Caenorhabditis elegans: one gene and its partners. The protein of the gene in region 2 purifies or fractionates together with the protein of the main gene of each other region. This does not show direct contact. Each region holds a gene or a part of one and is shown on either strand. Other genes may lie near its edges.

The links. The genes of interacting proteins can lie anywhere in the genome.
Region 1: the proteins of F44G4.1 (region 2) and rpn-2 fractionate together in Caenorhabditis elegans (co-fractionation; one large-scale study listed by BioGRID). This does not show direct contact.
Region 3: the proteins of F44G4.1 (region 2) and ppk-2 fractionate together in Caenorhabditis elegans (co-fractionation; one large-scale study listed by BioGRID). This does not show direct contact.

The regions. Positions count from the first base shown.
Region 1 is NC_003281.10:6,197,580-6,203,111, forward strand, and holds rpn-2 (26S proteasome non-ATPase regulatory subunit 1), read left to right. Parts: upstream 1-1,600; 5' UTR 1,601-1,606; coding exon 1,607-1,661; intron 1,662-1,711; coding exon 1,712-2,239; intron 2,240-2,285; coding exon 2,286-2,416; intron 2,417-2,466; coding exon 2,467-3,687; intron 3,688-3,739; coding exon 3,740-3,889; intron 3,890-3,936; coding exon 3,937-4,463; coding exon of another isoform or gene 4,464-4,467; exon of another isoform or gene 4,468-4,561; coding exon 4,562-4,847; 3' UTR 4,848-5,015; downstream 5,016-5,532. Other genes in the region: C23G10.7 (putative tRNA (uracil-O(2)-)-methyltransferase), read right to left, coding at 1-159, 203-419, 468-696, 742-828; sna-3 (NADAR domain-containing protein), read right to left, coding at 5,181-5,375, 5,449-5,532. UniProt on the Caenorhabditis elegans protein: Acts as a regulatory subunit of the 26 proteasome which is involved in the ATP-dependent degradation of ubiquitinated proteins.
Region 2 is NC_003280.10:8,992,965-8,996,778, forward strand, and holds F44G4.1 (Brix domain-containing protein F44G4.1), read left to right. Parts: upstream 1-1,671; coding exon 1,672-2,238; intron 2,239-2,288; coding exon 2,289-2,525; intron 2,526-2,639; coding exon 2,640-2,710; intron 2,711-2,755; coding exon 2,756-2,863; intron 2,864-2,908; coding exon 2,909-3,038; intron 3,039-3,087; coding exon 3,088-3,129; 3' UTR 3,130-3,305; downstream 3,306-3,814. Other genes in the region: ooc-5 (Torsin-like protein), read left to right, coding at 209-302, 345-452, 502-685, 737-1,421; ndub-2 (putative NADH dehydrogenase [ubiquinone] 1 beta subcomplex subunit 2, mitochondrial), read left to right, coding at 3,409-3,500, 3,545-3,814.
Region 3 is NC_003281.10:2,100,419-2,108,014, forward strand, and holds ppk-2 (1-phosphatidylinositol-5-phosphate 4-kinase), read left to right. Parts: upstream 1-1,876; 5' UTR 1,877-1,898; coding exon 1,899-2,081; intron 2,082-2,299; coding exon 2,300-2,542; intron 2,543-3,401; coding exon 3,402-3,514; intron 3,515-4,306; coding exon 4,307-4,593; intron 4,594-5,606; coding exon 5,607-5,941; intron 5,942-6,702; coding exon 6,703-6,747; 3' UTR 6,748-7,079; downstream 7,080-7,596.

The DNA of each region.
Region 1 (5,532 bases), on a different chromosome or scaffold from region 2:
ATATATGAAGCAATCCCACAATCCTCGAAAATTGATTTTTGTGGATTAGAGTTTTCTGTCCATCCTTTGATCATTCCTCTGCCATAATCCTCTCGAATATGACGATATGTCTTGATGTAGGACTCTTTGTCGAGTAGAGAATTTGTCTTTCGAGATGATCTGCAATAAACGTTTAGACTTTGTTAAATCATAGCGTTCTCACTTTGAAAGATCAATTCCTTTCAACCAAGTGTACAATTGTTTGAATGCTTGTTTCTTCATAAATTCAAAATGTTCTTGAGAGGAATTAGCTTGCTTCAAAAACTGAAGTTGAATGGATGTATCTGTTGGGATTTTAATGGCAATTGAATACGGGCTCTCGAAATGTGGGTGTTGCATTCCATCGAGAGTAATTGGGTAGAATCGTACAAGGAGTTCTTCTGAAAACAAAAACATCATTTCAAAAGAAGACTAACTTCGAAACAAACCTTCATAGTAAGAAACTTCAAACGCATTATCTGAGAATTTATTATTAGCGAGATCCTTGTGTATGATTTTCGTAATAGCTATTTCGCTGCAATCTCTCGGGCAAAATTTGTAATGTGTTTCAAATGTTCTTAAAACTTCATTCCATAAATCTGAATCTGTATCCACTGAAACTGAAGTTGTAATTCTGTTACTGATAGCGTTTGGATATTCCTTCCAAAGACTGATAATCTGAATTTTTCTTTCAATTACAATATTCCAAATTACAATAACTACCTTATCAAAAAACGCTTTTGGATCAATAACCTCTTCGTATTCGGCGATTTGTTCTACAATAACTGTCCATGTTGAACCAGGAAACATAAAACGCCTAAAAACGTAAAATTTTAATTGAATATATTGGTAAACTAGTTTTTCAAAGGAAAAAGAAAATTATTCAATAAACTTTTATTGATTAGTTCGGCCGAAAATATCCAACACGCAGAAAGGTAAGCTTTTCGAAGATATAGAAAGTTCTAGAAAATTCGGAAATGTTCCTCTGAAAACTACAAAAACTAAGTCAGACTGAAACCAATGTCATAACTATGTGCAATGAGCCTTTAATACAGTAACCACCGCATAGCTTTGAGACGATCAGTGAAAAATTAAGCATTAGAGCGGTCAAACTAGACACCAATACACTTTTATCTGATTTTAAAAATTAAAATATGCTATTTTTATCGGAATTGCTGGGAAAAATATTGTCTAAAAATAAGAAAACAACTTTGAAGAAAATGCGCCAACACCCATGTGCTGGCGCAATTATCGATTAGTTGACGCACATCGCGGAGGATGACAATTCTGACCACAGCGGGAAACCGCGAAATTGTCAGCTTTTATCTGAAAATGTATGTGTTTTTGGACGAAATTTGTCATTCGCAATCATTCTTTTCGTTCGGTTCATCCATTGTTGGTGTTTGAGTAATTTTATGATTTTCTAAAACGCCTGATTTATTTTTAGACGTTTTCTAATTTGTCTTTTAAGACGAGAAAGCTGTTTTTCTGATAACCTAGAAAAACATTTTATAATAAACTATGCTTCGCAACTATCTTCTCCTAGCTGCTCTCATTTCGGATTGTTTTTAATTTTGATTTCTTTCAGATGTTGACATTGTTGAACAGATGGAGATCTCAGCCAGGAGGCGCTTCAAACGCAGGTATCAAAACTAATATCTATCAAGAAACGTTGTGAATTGTTCATTTTCAGCCGCATTCATTCGTGTTCTCGAGTCACCGAAATCAGCAGTGACCGACAAAGTGCTCGTTCTCAAAGCATTTAACGATTGGGATGTTCTTGTGAACACATGGTTTGAGGTCGCTGACGCCCTTCCAGCTGTAGAGCAGCTCCTTGACAACAACACGTTCCCAGAGCATTCATCCGCTGCACTGCTCGTCTCCAAAGTTTATTTCTGCTTGGAGCAGTATGAACGTGCTTTGGAGTTTGCTCTTCGTGGTGATTTCAACGTCGTTCCTGCTACAAGAACCGGTCTTGGAAACGACGCAGAATATGTTAACAAGATCATCGAGACGGCCATTGACACGTACAAGACGCTGAGCAAGCAAGGATCTGGAATTCCTCAGAAACTCCGAGATTTGATCGACCGAATTGTTGCTAGAAATCTGGATAAACGAGAGATATGGTTTGTCATCTCGTTAGGATTTGAGACGACCAATCTGGCTATGATCGACAGGGCCATTAGCGCGATGCCTGCAGATTTGACCATCAAGAATCAGAGTAAGTCAATAATAACTAAGCTGAAACGTCATTCTTTTTTGTGCAGCTACACTTGTCGAAACGCTCAACCGTGTTGTCAATGGCGCGTTCGATCGTTCATTCCGATTCCAAGTTATCGATACAGTCATCAAGACGTACTTGAAGTGCCCATCGCCGGACATGTCCAAGATTTGCGAGGTATGATTTATACAAATATCGAAGTAAAATTACAAAATAAACATTTTCAGTGTTACGTGCTCACGGATAACGCCGAGGCCGCTGCTGACACGATTACGAGTTTGATCGCGAAGTCTCTCAGCACTCGTGCATATCAGATCGCATTTGATTTATATGAAACAGCGAGTCAAGGATTCCTCGATCGAGTTTTGAAACGTTTCCAACAGCAGGATGCTCGTGATGAGAAGTCGATGGAAAAGATTCATTCAATTCTCAAAGGTCATGAAACTGTCAAGGCTTACCTCGACTTCTTTGTCCGTCATAATCACACTGATTCTGTTCTAATGGAAGAGATCAAGGAGAACATTCGAACAGCCTCTGCCCACAATGCTCTTCTCATCTCAAATGGTCTTATGCAATATGGAACTACTTGTGACGATTTCCTCCGTAACAACTTGAACTGGGTTTCCAAAGCTACGAACTGGAACAAGTTCAATGCGGTCGCTTCACTTGGACTCATTCATCACGGACAAGAATCGTCTGCAATGAAGGTACTTGAGCCATATTTGCCAAAGGAATCTGTCGAAGGATTTGGATTTAAAGAGGGAGGAGCAATGCTGGCATATGGATTGATTCACGCCAAACACGGAGATGCAACTGCCATGAGCACTCTGGCTCAGTGGCTCAAAACCGCCGAAAACGAGCCAGTGAGACACGGAGCTTGTCTTGGATTTGGAGTTGCTGGACTTGGATCGTCTTCTGTTTCGAATTACGAGAAAGTTCGGGAAGTTCTCCAACGTGATGAAGCAGTTTCCGGAGAATCCGCAGGAATCGCCATGGGCCTTATCATGGCTGGACATCTGAATCAAGAGGTGTTCAATGAGCTCAAGCAATACACTGTTGACACACAGCATGACAAAACTCAACGTGGTATCCGAACTGGACTTGCCTGTGCCGCATTCGGACTCCAAGGAGATGCTGAGCCTTACATCAAAGAAGCAATCGGAGCTAAGAGCAATCCAATGCTCCGTTCCACTGGAATCTGTATGCTGTCGATGGCTTACGCCGGAACCGGATCTCCAGATGTAGTACGCCGTCTTCTCGAGAAAGTAGCCACCGATCCAAATTTGGATGTCAAGAGATACGCTACAATTGGTATCGGATTCGTTCTCTCCAAGGATCCATCAACCTGCTTATCCTACGTGGCCATGCTCACCGAACATTTCAATGGACATGTCAGATACGGAGCAGCTATGGCACTGGGAATTGCTTGTGCTGGAACAGGAAACATGGTAAGATACTTTTTTCTGAAACCGGGGTTTGATATAATGAATTGTTTTTCAGGAAGCTATTGCTCTGATTGAGCCAATGATTTCTGATAAGGAAGGTTTCGTTCGTAAAGGAGCACTTCTTTCACTTGCTCTCATCATGTGCCAGCAGACAGACTACACTTGTCCCAAGGTGAACGGTTTCCGTAAGCAATTGCTCAAAAAGGTAACTCTATAAGAAAACAATCAAGTTTTTCAATAAATGTTTGTCAGATCGGAGAGAAGAACGAGGACTCTCTTGTCAAATTTGGAGCAATTATTGCTCAAGGACTTCTCGACATCGGAGGGCAGAACGCTGCGGTCACAATGCAAAATTCTGACAAGCAGCCAGATATGGGATCAATGGTCGGAATGATGTGCTTCCTTCACGGATGGTTCTGGCACTCGATGCATTTCTTCATCGCCCTTGCTGCTAAGCCATCATGCCTTGTGATGATGAACGAGAATCTGAAGATTCCAGTACTTGACTACATCTGCCATGCCAATAGTCAGAAGTTTGCCTATCCACCACGAGCCGAATCAAAGAAGGATAAGGATGTCAAAAAGATTGAGACTGTTGTTCTGTCCATCACCGGAAAGAAGAATGCGTCAAAGAAGCTGATCGCTGAGGAGAAAAAAAGACGAGAAGCTGCAGCTTCCGCTTCTAGTGCTGCTGCTGCCCCATCATCATCGTCCACTTCAGGAACAGCACCAGCTGCTGAAGATGAGAAAATGGAGGTTGATCAACCAGGAAAATCCAAGTAAGTTTGGAATGAGTGTCTAGGAAAAGTAGAATTCGTTTTTTTTGTCATAAAAATTAAAAAACCAAGATTTCCAAATTAACTTACAATTATTTCAGGAAAGAAAAGGCTCCAGAAAAGGACACGAAGCCATTGCACCGCCTACAGAATCCAGCTCGTGTGATTCCTGCTCAACGACAGCTAATCTCGATCAGTGACGCTCGAGCCTACAGTCCCATGAAGCCACTTTACAAGGGTGGAATTATTGTGGCGGATCGTGTTGATAAGGAGAGAGAGGAGAAGCTTGTCAGTGAAGTCGTCACTCAGGTCAATACTCCTGCGAGCTCTGGAAATACCGAAAACAAACCCCATTCGACGTTCGAGATCAATATCAACGATTTTTGATCAATTGCTGGATCATTCGATCAACTCTATCTCGCTCCCCCAATCCCATTCAAAACTTTTTTAATTTATTTTCCCCCTTCTACTCTATTTATGTTTGACTTCGAATCAACATGAACCCGCTGATTTTTGTATTTGTGTGTATACCTGAAAATGAAGAACATTTCACTTACATGAATTGAAGTCAAGCGATAATGACAAAAAATTTATTTTTGTTAAACAAGAGATCCTTTCTGGCCTCAAAATCTTGCTGTGTTATTCAAATGAAACAGCAACAAAAATGAATGAATAAATTCTGAAAATTTTAATAACGAAAACGTGAAGTAAAAAATTAATTTAATTATCCTCCTCGTCAGTTGATAGAATCTCGCCGTCTGATAACTCCTCTTCGGGATCTCGCTTTGGCTTCGGAGGAACAACGACCGCTGGTGTTGACGTGGATATGGCTGGCTTTTTAGCAGGCGATGGAGCTGCTTTCCGCGATGGAGGAGACTGGTTTACACGTTTTTTGGTGGGAGTGTCGAGGTGTTTCTGTAAATTTTGATTTTGAAAACATGTAATCGGGAAATTTTAAGCTAAAACAATATAAATAATAAAAACCAACATCTCTTCCTCTATCAGAAGACGACTTCTCTGGCAAACGATCCCTATCTTTTCCAAATTTCCTTCTAGATGTCGTTGGTATTTT
Region 2 (3,814 bases):
GGTTACGGTGTACAAATCTGCAAACAGCGCCACATAAAAATGCACGGATATTTTTGCCCGTTTGCAAAAAAAAAATTTTTGCCTTAATTTTATTATAATTTTATCAAATTCATGTATAAAACTATAGTTTCAATTCCTGGAATTAAACAAAACTTCTATTTTTATTTTTCGTGTCCTTTACTCGAGCGTAATATCAATTTTCAGGTGGATGAAACTTGATTATGTTCTTCTCCTTCTTTTCCATTTGTGCTTTGTCAACACGGAATTGATAAGCGTGATTACCGGTAAGATTAAAGATTCCGGTGAGAAGAAGTCGAATTTTTAATTATATTCGGTTTTTTCAGGCACGACTATCGCGATATCGGCCGGAGCGTTTTGGGGTCTTAAGGATCGTTTAAAGTGTTACTTATATGAATGCTGTCATGAACCTGACGTAAATTTCAATTATCACAGTAAGATATTTTCCACCTTTTCACTGAATTCAATTATTCTTAATTTAAGCACTGGACGCGGATATTGCAAATCTACTGTTTGGCCAACATTTGGTAAAGGACGTCGTTGTAAATTCCATAAAATCTCATTGGTACAATGAAAATCCCCGAAAACCACTGGTTCTTTCGTTTCACGGTTACACAGGCTCAGGAAAGAACTATGTCGCTGAAATTATAGCAAACAATACGTTCAGGTTCGGAATTTGTTAAATTTTTAGTTGAAAAACAATAATTTCTAATTCCAGGCTTGGACTCCGCAGTACTTTTGTCCAGCATATCGTGGCGACCAATGATTTTCCAGACAAAAATAAACTGGAAGAGTATCAAGTTGAATTAAGAAATCGGATTCTAACAACTGTACAAAAATGTCAACGATCAATATTCATTTTCGATGAGGCTGATAAACTACCAGAGCAGTTGCTAGGCGCAATTAAACCGTTCCTCGACTATTATTCGACAATTTCTGGCGTGGATTTTCGAAGAAGCATCTTCATTCTACTAAGCAATAAAGGTGGAGGAGAAATAGCAAGAATAACAAAAGAACAGTACGAAAGTGGCTATCCACGTGAACAACTCCGCTTGGAAGCTTTCGAACGAGAACTTATGAACTTCTCATACAACGAGAAAGGTGGCTTACAGATGAGCGAGCTCATCTCAAATCATCTTATCGATCATTTCGTTCCATTTCTACCGTTACAACGAGAACATGTCAGAAGTTGCGTTGGTGCTTATCTTCGAAAACGAGGAAGAGGAGATCTGGTGTCCAACGTGGATTTTGTCGAACGAGTTCTTAATTCTCTACAATACTTCCCTGAATCTTCCAAAGCATTTTCTTCATCCGGGTGTAAACGAGTCGACGCTAAAACGGATCTAGAAATGGCCAAGATACGGCCACTTCTCTCAAGTGTTCATTTCGACGATGAACTATAACAATTTTTCTTGTTCATATCAGTATTAGTTACCACTATATCTTACTTAATTTCTAAATTATTACGGGAAGCTGTACATGTAAGCTATTGCATTCCTCGATGATTACCTCATTTGCCAATTTTTCAAACAGTATAAATATTCTTATTAATTTTTAACTTGATTATTCGCTATGCTTGGGTTCAATATCCAGTTTATATATATTTATGTATATTTTTGATGCCTTGTTGAAAATGCTCGTACTTTGTTTCAGATGGCTCCAAAAAAGTCCAAGAAGTCAAAGAAAGAAGAGTCGATGATTGATTTTGTCGAAGAAGAAGTTACTGGTGACGTCGATGAAGATGGTTTTGAACAAGCCGAAGACATGCCAGATGAGGTGGATTCAGATGAAGATGAGCCACCGAAAAAGAAGAAGAAAGTTGTGAAGAAAGAAATCAAACAAGAACTAGAATTGACCGATGAGAAGCTTCAAGAGTTACTGGAAAAGTATGAAGCGTCTAAGGCTACAGCCACAAAAACAAAAGACGACTTCAAACATCTGCCAAAAAGTCAACGTGGAAAAGCATTGAAAAGAGCATTGAGAAAGGACAAAAGAGCCAGACAGGGAGAAAGAGCTCAGATTCGAGATGAACTGGGAGAAAGTGCTCCACAAAAAGAAGTTCCAAAAACTATTGAAAGTATGCGGGAGTATGATGCGACGATGGTAAATGAAGAAGATGACGAAGTTGAGCACGACGAGGCCAACGACGAGTTTGCACCATATTTCAACAGAGAAACATCTCCAAAAGTAATGATCACAATGACTCCAAAAGCTAAAATCGTAAGTTTCACTTCTAAAATATTCAAAGCATTGATTTACCATATTTTCAGACAACCTTCAAATTCTGTTTCGAACTTCAAAAATGTATTCCAAACTCTGAAATATTCACAAGAAAGAACGTATTGCTCAAGACAATCATCGAACAGGCTAAAGAAAGAGAGTTCACTGATTTGCTTGTTGTACACGAAGATAGAAAGAAGCCAAATGGAATTATTTTCTGTCATTTGCCTGAAGGACCTACTGCGTATTTCAAAATCAATAGTCTAACATTCACACAGGATTTGAAGGTTTGTTATTTTGATAACTTCTTTATGTATTGCTTAAAATCATTAAAACTATTTTATGTAACTTACCTTGAAAAATCAGAAAAATTCAAATAAAGAATAAAATTCAAATTTCAGAAATTCGGTGAGTCGACATCTCATTTCCCGGAAGTGATTCTCAACAATTTCAACACACGTCTTGGACACAAGTGCGTTTAATATCGTACATCACTCAATTTATCAGATATTTTCAGCATCGCTCGAATGCTTGCTTGTCTCTTTCCACACGATCCAAAATTCACTGGACGCAGAGTTGTAACATTCCACAATCAGAGAGATTACATCTTTTTCAGACATCATAGGTAGGTGAATCATGTTTATTTCAATCGAATATCTAAAAATTTCAGATACGAATTCAAAAAGGAAGGTTCAAAAGCAGCGCTTCTGGAGTTGGGTCCTCGATTCACATTAAGACTTAAGTGGCTACAGAAGGGTACTTTCGACGCAAAGTGGGGAGAATTCGAATGGGTCCTCAAGGTATGGATTTATTTAAAATTAATTGAATGAAAATTATTAAAAATTTCAGAGACACGAAATGGAAACCAGTCGTCGTCGTTTCTTCCTCTGATTACTATTATTCGTTTTTCAAAGGTTGCAAAAAAATTCGAAGCCCCAATTTTATCCTTACTAAGGTTTTTGAAGTTTTGAACAAATATCTCAATCTCTCCCATGCAACCCTATCATCTTTGTTACTGCTTTTATTTTGTTGTTTTGTTGATGTTATTGAATAATATAATTTGATGCAATTTTTTTAAACTGTTACCTCTAAGGTTTCTGACCGATAATTATCTATTCTGATGATATTTTATTATTATATATATTCGCAGAATTTATTCAGGTTCTGACCATGTTGGGGAACAAATTCGTTGCTCAGTTGGCTCTGCAGCACCTCCGCAATCGAGGACTCGTCAATTCCCCATCTCGTCTGACTTTTGTTCGGTAAATTTTCTTTCCGAATAGTATAGATTTATTTTTTATTCTAGAAATCGATTTGCTTGGGGATCTGATGCTGTTGGTCCAAATGTTCCAGTTGGAGGAAAGATGGGAGCTTCGGAGAATCCAGAATTGCACACCTATGATGGAGACTACCGCGGTACCATCTCGAAGGGGGATAAGCCAATTCCAGATTACTTCTACCGTACTCCAACAACTGGTCGAACCTACATCGATCGTTGTGTAACCTATTTCATCTCAGCTGTCATTTGGGCGTGGTTCTCGTACCACATGTACTATCATTCTGGCCATCTCTTGGG
Region 3 (7,596 bases), on a different chromosome or scaffold from region 2:
TTTAATGTAGAATTTTTTGGAAAAAAATCGAAAATTTTCGAAAATCCATAACTTTGTTAATTTTCAAGTTTTAAAATTGGTTTTAGTCTCAAAAATTTGGAAATTTTACTGAAAATATGAGAAAAATCATTTCGCCGCAAAAAAAAACACAAAACTACAGTAACCCAGTAGGTTTTCGTGGCGGGACCCAAATGTTTTCGATTTTCGTAAATTTCACCGTAATATAGCCGATATTGGGGTCATTTTGAAGGTCTAAGCGTGACAAATTCGAATTTTCACGAAAAATTCGGTTTTAATCATTTTTGAAATTTTTTTTGGAAAAAAAATTATTTATAAAAAAATTATTTCTCAAAAATTTTGTTAGTTTTTTTTTTCTTGCACAATGTTTCCAGTTCTCGTGCTTTTTGGCCTCAAAACGTGCTAAAATTTAAAGGCGCATGGCTTGCGTCATCATCAAATTTCCGTTTCAAAACTAGTTTTTTTTTCCAAGTATTCCTCGTAAATAAGGGAAGATTCGATTTGAATAAATTTCCACCAAACTCACACATACACATTTTCTCTGCGTTCTCTTCACTCTCTTTCTCTCCCCAGAGAGAGAGAGAGAGAGACCGAGAGACACAGACGATGAGAGAGTATCGACTTGGCCAGTGGCTGGCGGGCGGCTGGGCGGTGCGAGAGAGCACGACTTAGCGTGCTAAAAGTGTGGAGACGCAGACGGTTTATGCGCACACACACACAGCGGGGAGGCACCCGCGCTCGTTTTTCACATTTTTCGTCAATATTTTGCAGTGTTGTGTGCACCCGGAGGCACCAACCCCGAGGCACCCCGTTTTGTGAAAAGCTTTAAATTTATTGATTTTTGTGGTTTTTATGGTTTTTTGACCGGAAAAATAAGTTTTAAATTGAAAAATCGATTTAAAAAAGCGGTACGGTAGGCTTAAAGGCGCATAGCTTGAAAAATTTTCGAGGAACCTTTGGAAAATTTAGTTTTGCTCAGTTTTTCTCAATTTTTTCTGAATTTCAGATGATTTTCCATCGTTTTTTGCCTTTTTCGATGCAATTTTATTCGTGTTTGCATTAAAATTCAACAAAAACCCGAAAAATTTGATTACGGTAGGCTTAAAGGCGCATAGCTCGGAAAATTTTCAAGGAATCTTTAAAAAATTAAATTTTGCCCAGTTTTTCTCAGTTTTTCTGAGTTATAGTTGATTTTTCAGCATTTTTTGGCTTTTTCGATGCAATTTTATTCGTTTTTGCATTAAAATTCAACAAAAACCCGAAAAATTTGATTACTGTAGGCTTAAAGGCGCATAGCTTGAAAATTTCGCGAAAAACTTTGTTTTTATACTGTTTTGTATACGAATTTTGTGAGGAAACCAGTTTTTCGATGGTTTTTTTTCTCGTTTTTCTCAAAACATAGAACTTTGTGCTCTTTTCTCTGGCTTTTCCATCTTAGAAATGAGCATTTTCTAGTTTTTGCTCATTTTTCGTGTGTAAATTTTAATTTTTATTTGTTTTCCTTAATTTTGTTTTAATTTTCTTGATTTTTCTCTTGAAACATCGATAAAAATCCATTAGATACCATTAAAATCCAATAAAAACCAAAAAACAAAATCTTTCAACCGTAATCCATTAAAGGCGCATGCCTTTATTTGTTCCTTGGGTCTCGAAGGGAACACCTCGTGTACTCCTCTCGGACAATGATTTTATGTTTAATTTTTAATTTTTATCGATTTTTATGCGAAAAAATGGATTTCCGCTCTGTTTTTTGAGATAAAAACGATTTTTAACTTGAAATCTCAATTTTCCTTTTAGTTTCAGCTGAAAAATCCTCTGAAATTCTTTTAAAAAAATCATTTTTTGCATTTTTTTGCAGTTTTCCGCCAACAAAACTCGGCATGTCGACAAAAAAGAAGACAAAGGTCCTATCGAAGAAAAAAGGCAAGATTTTGGTGCCAAAATGGAAGCTTTTCCGCGCCAAAGAGCCTGTCTTGTCGGTTTTCATGTGGGGAATCAATCATACGGTGGATCAGCTGCTTCATGTCCCTCCGCCAGGGCTTCTAATGCCAGATGACTTCAAGGCAGGTGGAAATTTGAAAAAATCACAAAAAATTGGCCTAGACGAGTGAAAATTTGAGAAAAATCGGAAGAAAAACGACGAAAAAACCAAAAATTGTAGGACACAGCTGAAATCAGTGCTACCGTAGTCAAAAATTTCGAAAAAATGCGAAAATAGGTCAATTTTGCGCGGGAAATTCAAATTTCGCACTGATTTTTCATAAAAAATCCGATTTTTCAGGCATATTCGAAAGTAAAAATCGATAATCACAATTTCAACAAAGATATTATGCCGTCACACTACAAAGTCAAAGAATACTGTCCAAATGTGTTCCGTAACCTTCGTGAGCAATTTGGTGTCGACAATTTCGAATATCTACGCTCGCTGACGTCATACGAGCCGGAGCCCGACTTGTTGGATGGCTCGGCAAAGGATTCCACGCCGAGATTCTTTATATCGTATGATAAGAAGTTTGTGATCAAGGTTTGTGTGTGGAGAAATCGAGAAAATCGTAGGATTTTGACCGAAAAAATGCGAAAATTCGGCTTCAAAGTGTGAATTTTGCCCTAAAACGCAAATTTTGGCCTAAAAACGTAAAATTTAGCCCTAAAAACGTGAATTTTAGTCCTAAAAATGTAAATTTTAGGCATAAAAACGTAAATTTTAGGCATAAAAACGTAAATTTTAAGCTTAAAAACGTGAATTTTAAGCCTAAAACCGTGAATTTTAAGCCTAAAACCGTGAATTTTAAGCCTAAAAACGTGAATTTTAGGCCTAAAAACGTAAAATTTAGCCCTAAAAACGTGAATTTTAGGCCTAAAAACGTAAATTTTAGGCCTAAAAACTTAAATTTTAAGTGTGAAACCGTGAATTTTAAGCCTAAAAACTTAAATTTTAAGCCTAAAAACCTAAATTTTAGGCCTGAAAACGTAAATTTTAAGCCTAAAAACGTAAATTTTAAGCCTAAAAATGTAAATTTTAGGCCTAAAACCGTGAATTTTAGGCCTAAAAATGTAACTTTTAGGCCTAAAAACATACATTTTGGGTCTAAAAACGTAAATTGTAGTGCTAAAAACGCAAATTAAAGCCTAAAACCTTGATTTTTAAGCCTAGAAACTTGGATTTTAGCCCTAAAAACGTGAATTTTAGGTCGTAAAAACGTGAAAATTAGGCCTAAAAACGCAGATTTCAGTGTGCTGAATTCCAATATCATCAGAAAATGTGAAAAAATTGGGTCTCGAAGCGAAAAATGCGAAAAATTACGTTTTTCAACTAAAAATTTCAAATTTTCAACCAAAACTACCCGAAATTTCAAAAAAAAAAAAAATTTTCAAAATTTCAGTCAATGGACTCCGAAGCGGTCGCCGAGCTCCACTCAGTACTCCGGAATTATCATCAATATGTCGTCGAAAAGCAAGGAAAAACCCTTTTGCCGCAATATTTGGGACTTTATAGGTAAAAAGTCGAATTCAGCTCGCCGTGGGCTTCAATTTGACACCAAAAATTCAGGAAAAATCGATAAATTTTGAAAAAAAAAATTTTTTTAAGAAACAATTTTGAAACTTTGAAATTTTTTCTGCAAAATTCTAAGTTTTCACTAAAATGTTTATATTTTTGAACTCAGCTCACCGAGAGCTTTAAAATGACCCCCATATCGGCTAGGTTCCGCCAATTTTGGGTCCCGCCGCGAAAACTACAGTACCCTTCTTGTCGGGACCCAGTTTTCGCGGCGGGACCCAGAATTGCCGGAACTTAGTCGATATGGGAGTCATTTGAAAGCTCTCGGTGAGCTGAATACGAATTTGACGCGGAAAATTTAAACAACTCGAAAATTTTTTTTTTTAAGAAAATGAATTTTTGAAAAAAAATTTTTTTTTTTTGGAAATTTTTAAATTTTTATTGAAATTTTCATACTTTCGAACTCAGCTCACCGAGAGCTTCAAAATGGCCCCCATATCGGCTAGGCTCCGTCAATTTTGGGTCTCGCCGCGAAAACTACAGTACCCTTCGTGTCGGGACCCAGTTTTCGCGGCGGGACCCAAAATCGGCGAACCTAGCGGATATGGGAGTCATTGTGAAGGTCTGAGCGAGCGGAATACAAATTTTACGAAAAAAAATTCATAAATTTTCGAAAAAAAAATTATTTTTAGAAATTGAATTCAAAAAAAAAATTTTTTTTTGGAATTTAGATTTTTTCTACCTAAATTTTATTCAATCTCTTTTTGCAATGTTTTGCAATATTTTCAGACTAACAATCGAGGGCTCAGAGACATACCTGATCGTAATGCGCAACGTGTTCGGCCGAAAGTACGGTGTCCATACAAAATTCGACCTTAAAGGATCTACAGTATCCCGTGCGGCGTCGGATAAGGAAAAAGCCAAAGATCTCCCAACACTGAAAGATAACGATTTTCTGGAACAAAACTGGAAGCTTAACCTGCCGCCAGAGGCCGGAAAACTGCTCATTGAGATGCTCACTAGTGATACGGAATGGCTCACGAGAATGCATTTGATGGATTATTCGCTGCTAGTTGGTACGGTACAAAATACCGGAAAAATGCAAAATTTCGGAAAAATCAATAATTCTTAAAATTTCGAGAAAATGTTTTTTTTGGAAATTTTCTAGATTATTTTTTCAAAGTTCCATATTTCAGAATAATTTCCAAAAATCTGAATTCAGCTCACCAGGACCTTCAAAATGACCCCCTTCATGCCTAGGTTCCGCCAATTTTGAGTTTTTGGGTCTCGCCACGCGGGGTACTGTAGCTATGGTTTCAGCTGTGTCGAAACTCGAAATTGACGGAGCCAAGGCGTGGTGGGGGTCATTTGAAAGATCTTGATGAGCTGAATTCGATTAATTAAATAATACTTTGAGAATGAAATTTTGAGTTAAAAAAATTTTGTTGAAAATTTCCAAAAAAAAAAGAATTTTTTTCGAATTTCACTTTTCTTAACTAATTTCAAAAAATTTTAATTCAGCTCACCAATACCGTTAAAATGACCCCCATCATGCCTAGGTTCCGACGAATTTCGAGAATTTGGGTCTCGCCACGCGGGGTACTGTAGCTATGGCTTCAGCTGTGTCGAAACTCGAAATTGACGCAGCCTAGGCGTGTTGGGGGTCATTTGAAAGATCTTGATGAGCTGAATTCGATTTTAATGTCAAAATATTTAGAAATCTTTTGAAAAAATTAAATTTTGAGAGAAAATTTTTTTTTGAAAATTTCCAAAAAAAAAGAATTTTTTTCGAATTTTCAATTTTCCACGCTAATTTTAAAAAATTTGAATTCAGCTCGCCAGTACCTTCAAAATGACCCCCATCATGCCCAGGTTCCGCCAATTTCGAGTTTTTGGGTCTCGCCACGCTGGGTACTGTAGCTATGGTTTCAGCTGTGTCGAAACTCAAAATTGACGCAACCTAGGCATGTTGGGGGTCATTTGAAAGGTCTTGGTGAGCTGAATTCAAATATTACAGTAGTTGTTTTCAAGAATTTCGATTTTTCAGAATTTTAAAACTGTTCCAAAAATTAAAAAAAAATTATTCCAGGTATCCACGACTGCGAACGTGCCGCCCAAGAAGCCGCCAATCGTCCCGTAGAACAAAACAGTGAAGAATCGGGCGACGAGCTCGCCCCGACGCCCCCAGACTCGCCGATCCCGTCAACGGGCGGCGCATTTCCCGGAGTTTCGGGCGGTCCCGACCTCGATGATGAATTTTACGCCATCGCAAGTCCCGCGGATTTTGAGAAAAATTTGATCTATTTTATTGGGCTCGTCGATATTCTCACCTACTACGGCATCAAGAAACGCAGTGCGACGGCCGCGAAAACTGTGAAATATGGCTCAGATGCCGAGAATATTAGCACTGTTAAACCGGAACAGGTGCGGATTTGCGGAATTGCAAAAAAAAATGGAAAAAATCCCGAAATTTTGAGGATTTTTGGAGAAAAATTGAGATTTTTTTGGAAATTTCTTAATTTTTTTGATTTGTAGTGTAATTTTCTTTTCCAGCACACTGAGAGCTTCAATGTAACCCCAATATCGGCTTTTTTCCGCCATTTTTGACACATTTTGGGTCCTGCCACGAAAACTACAGTACCCCTTTCGTGGTGGGACCCGAAATTCTCAAAGTCGGCGGAATATAGGCATGTTGGAGGTCATTTGAATGGGTTCGGTGAGCTGAATTCAAATTTAATGCCGACTTTAAAAAATTTACAAAAAATTGAAAAAAAAATCCCGAAAATTGACGATTTTCGGAAAAATTTGAAATTTCTCAGTTTTTTTCGAAAATTCAACTGAATTTTCAATTTTCAGTCCAATTTTTTCACTCAACACACTGAGAGGTTCAATTTGACCCCATTTTGACGATTTTCCGTCAATTTCTACACTTTTTGGGTCTCGCCACGAAAACTACAGTAACCCTTTCGTGGTGGGACCCAAAAATCTCAAAGTCGGCGGAATATAGGCATGTTGGGGGTCATTTGAAACGTCTCGGTGAGCTGAATTCAATTTTAAAAATGAGAATCTACAGAAATGGGTCTCGACGCGAAAAATGGTTTTTTTTTCGAAAATACAAAATTTTCAAAAAAAAACTTTTTTTTTTCTGAAAAATTAAAAAAACTTCTAATCTCAATTTTTTTCAGTATGCCAAACGACTCGTCGAATTCGTAAGCCGGGCTCTCAACTGACCCCGCCCACCATCTACAGTAACCCCGCCCTGCCCCGCCCCCCTTTTGCACCTTTAATTTCGCACATTGATCTCAATTTTCAATTTTTTTGTAAAAATAAGCTGAAAAGAAAAAAATATACCAAAAATTATAATTTATTTCCGATATTTTCCTGCTTTGCTCTCCCGCCCCCGTCGCCCTAAGCTCCGCCCATTTCTGACCCGCTAAAATTCCCGATTTATAATTTTTTTTTGATTTTCTCCTGAAAATTTGTCTGTAATTTATCCCCCGCTATTACCTTTATATTTTTGTGTAAAAATAAACAGTATTTGGCATGAAAATGTGAAAAATTGGGTCCCGCCACGAAAACTACTGGGATACTGTAGTTTTGCAGGGGTTTGAGCTGGATTTATTTTTCCTGGGTTATTAAGGTAATTTTACAAATTTAAAGACAAAAATTAGCTGGAAATCTCAAAAATTGACAAAGTTATGAATTTTCGAAAAAAAAAAACTTTTTGAAATAATTTCAAAATTATTTTTATTTTCCTATTTTCGCTTCGAGACCTTTATTACACTGATTTTCGTGTTCAACACGTTTTGAATTTCAAAATGACACCCATATTGCCTAGGTTTGATATACTTTGGGTCCCGACGCGAAAACTACAGTACCCCCCGGGGCTTTCGTGGTGGGGTCCCGAAATTTTCAAAGTAGGCGGAATATAGGCATGTTGGGGGTTATTTGAAAGGTCTCGGTGAGTTGAAGACGAATTATGTGTCGGTTTTTAAAAATTTACGAAAAATTTGGCGATTTTTAGAAAAGTTGAAATTTCTCCTTTTTTCTAAAATACAACGATTTCTTGTTAAATTTTC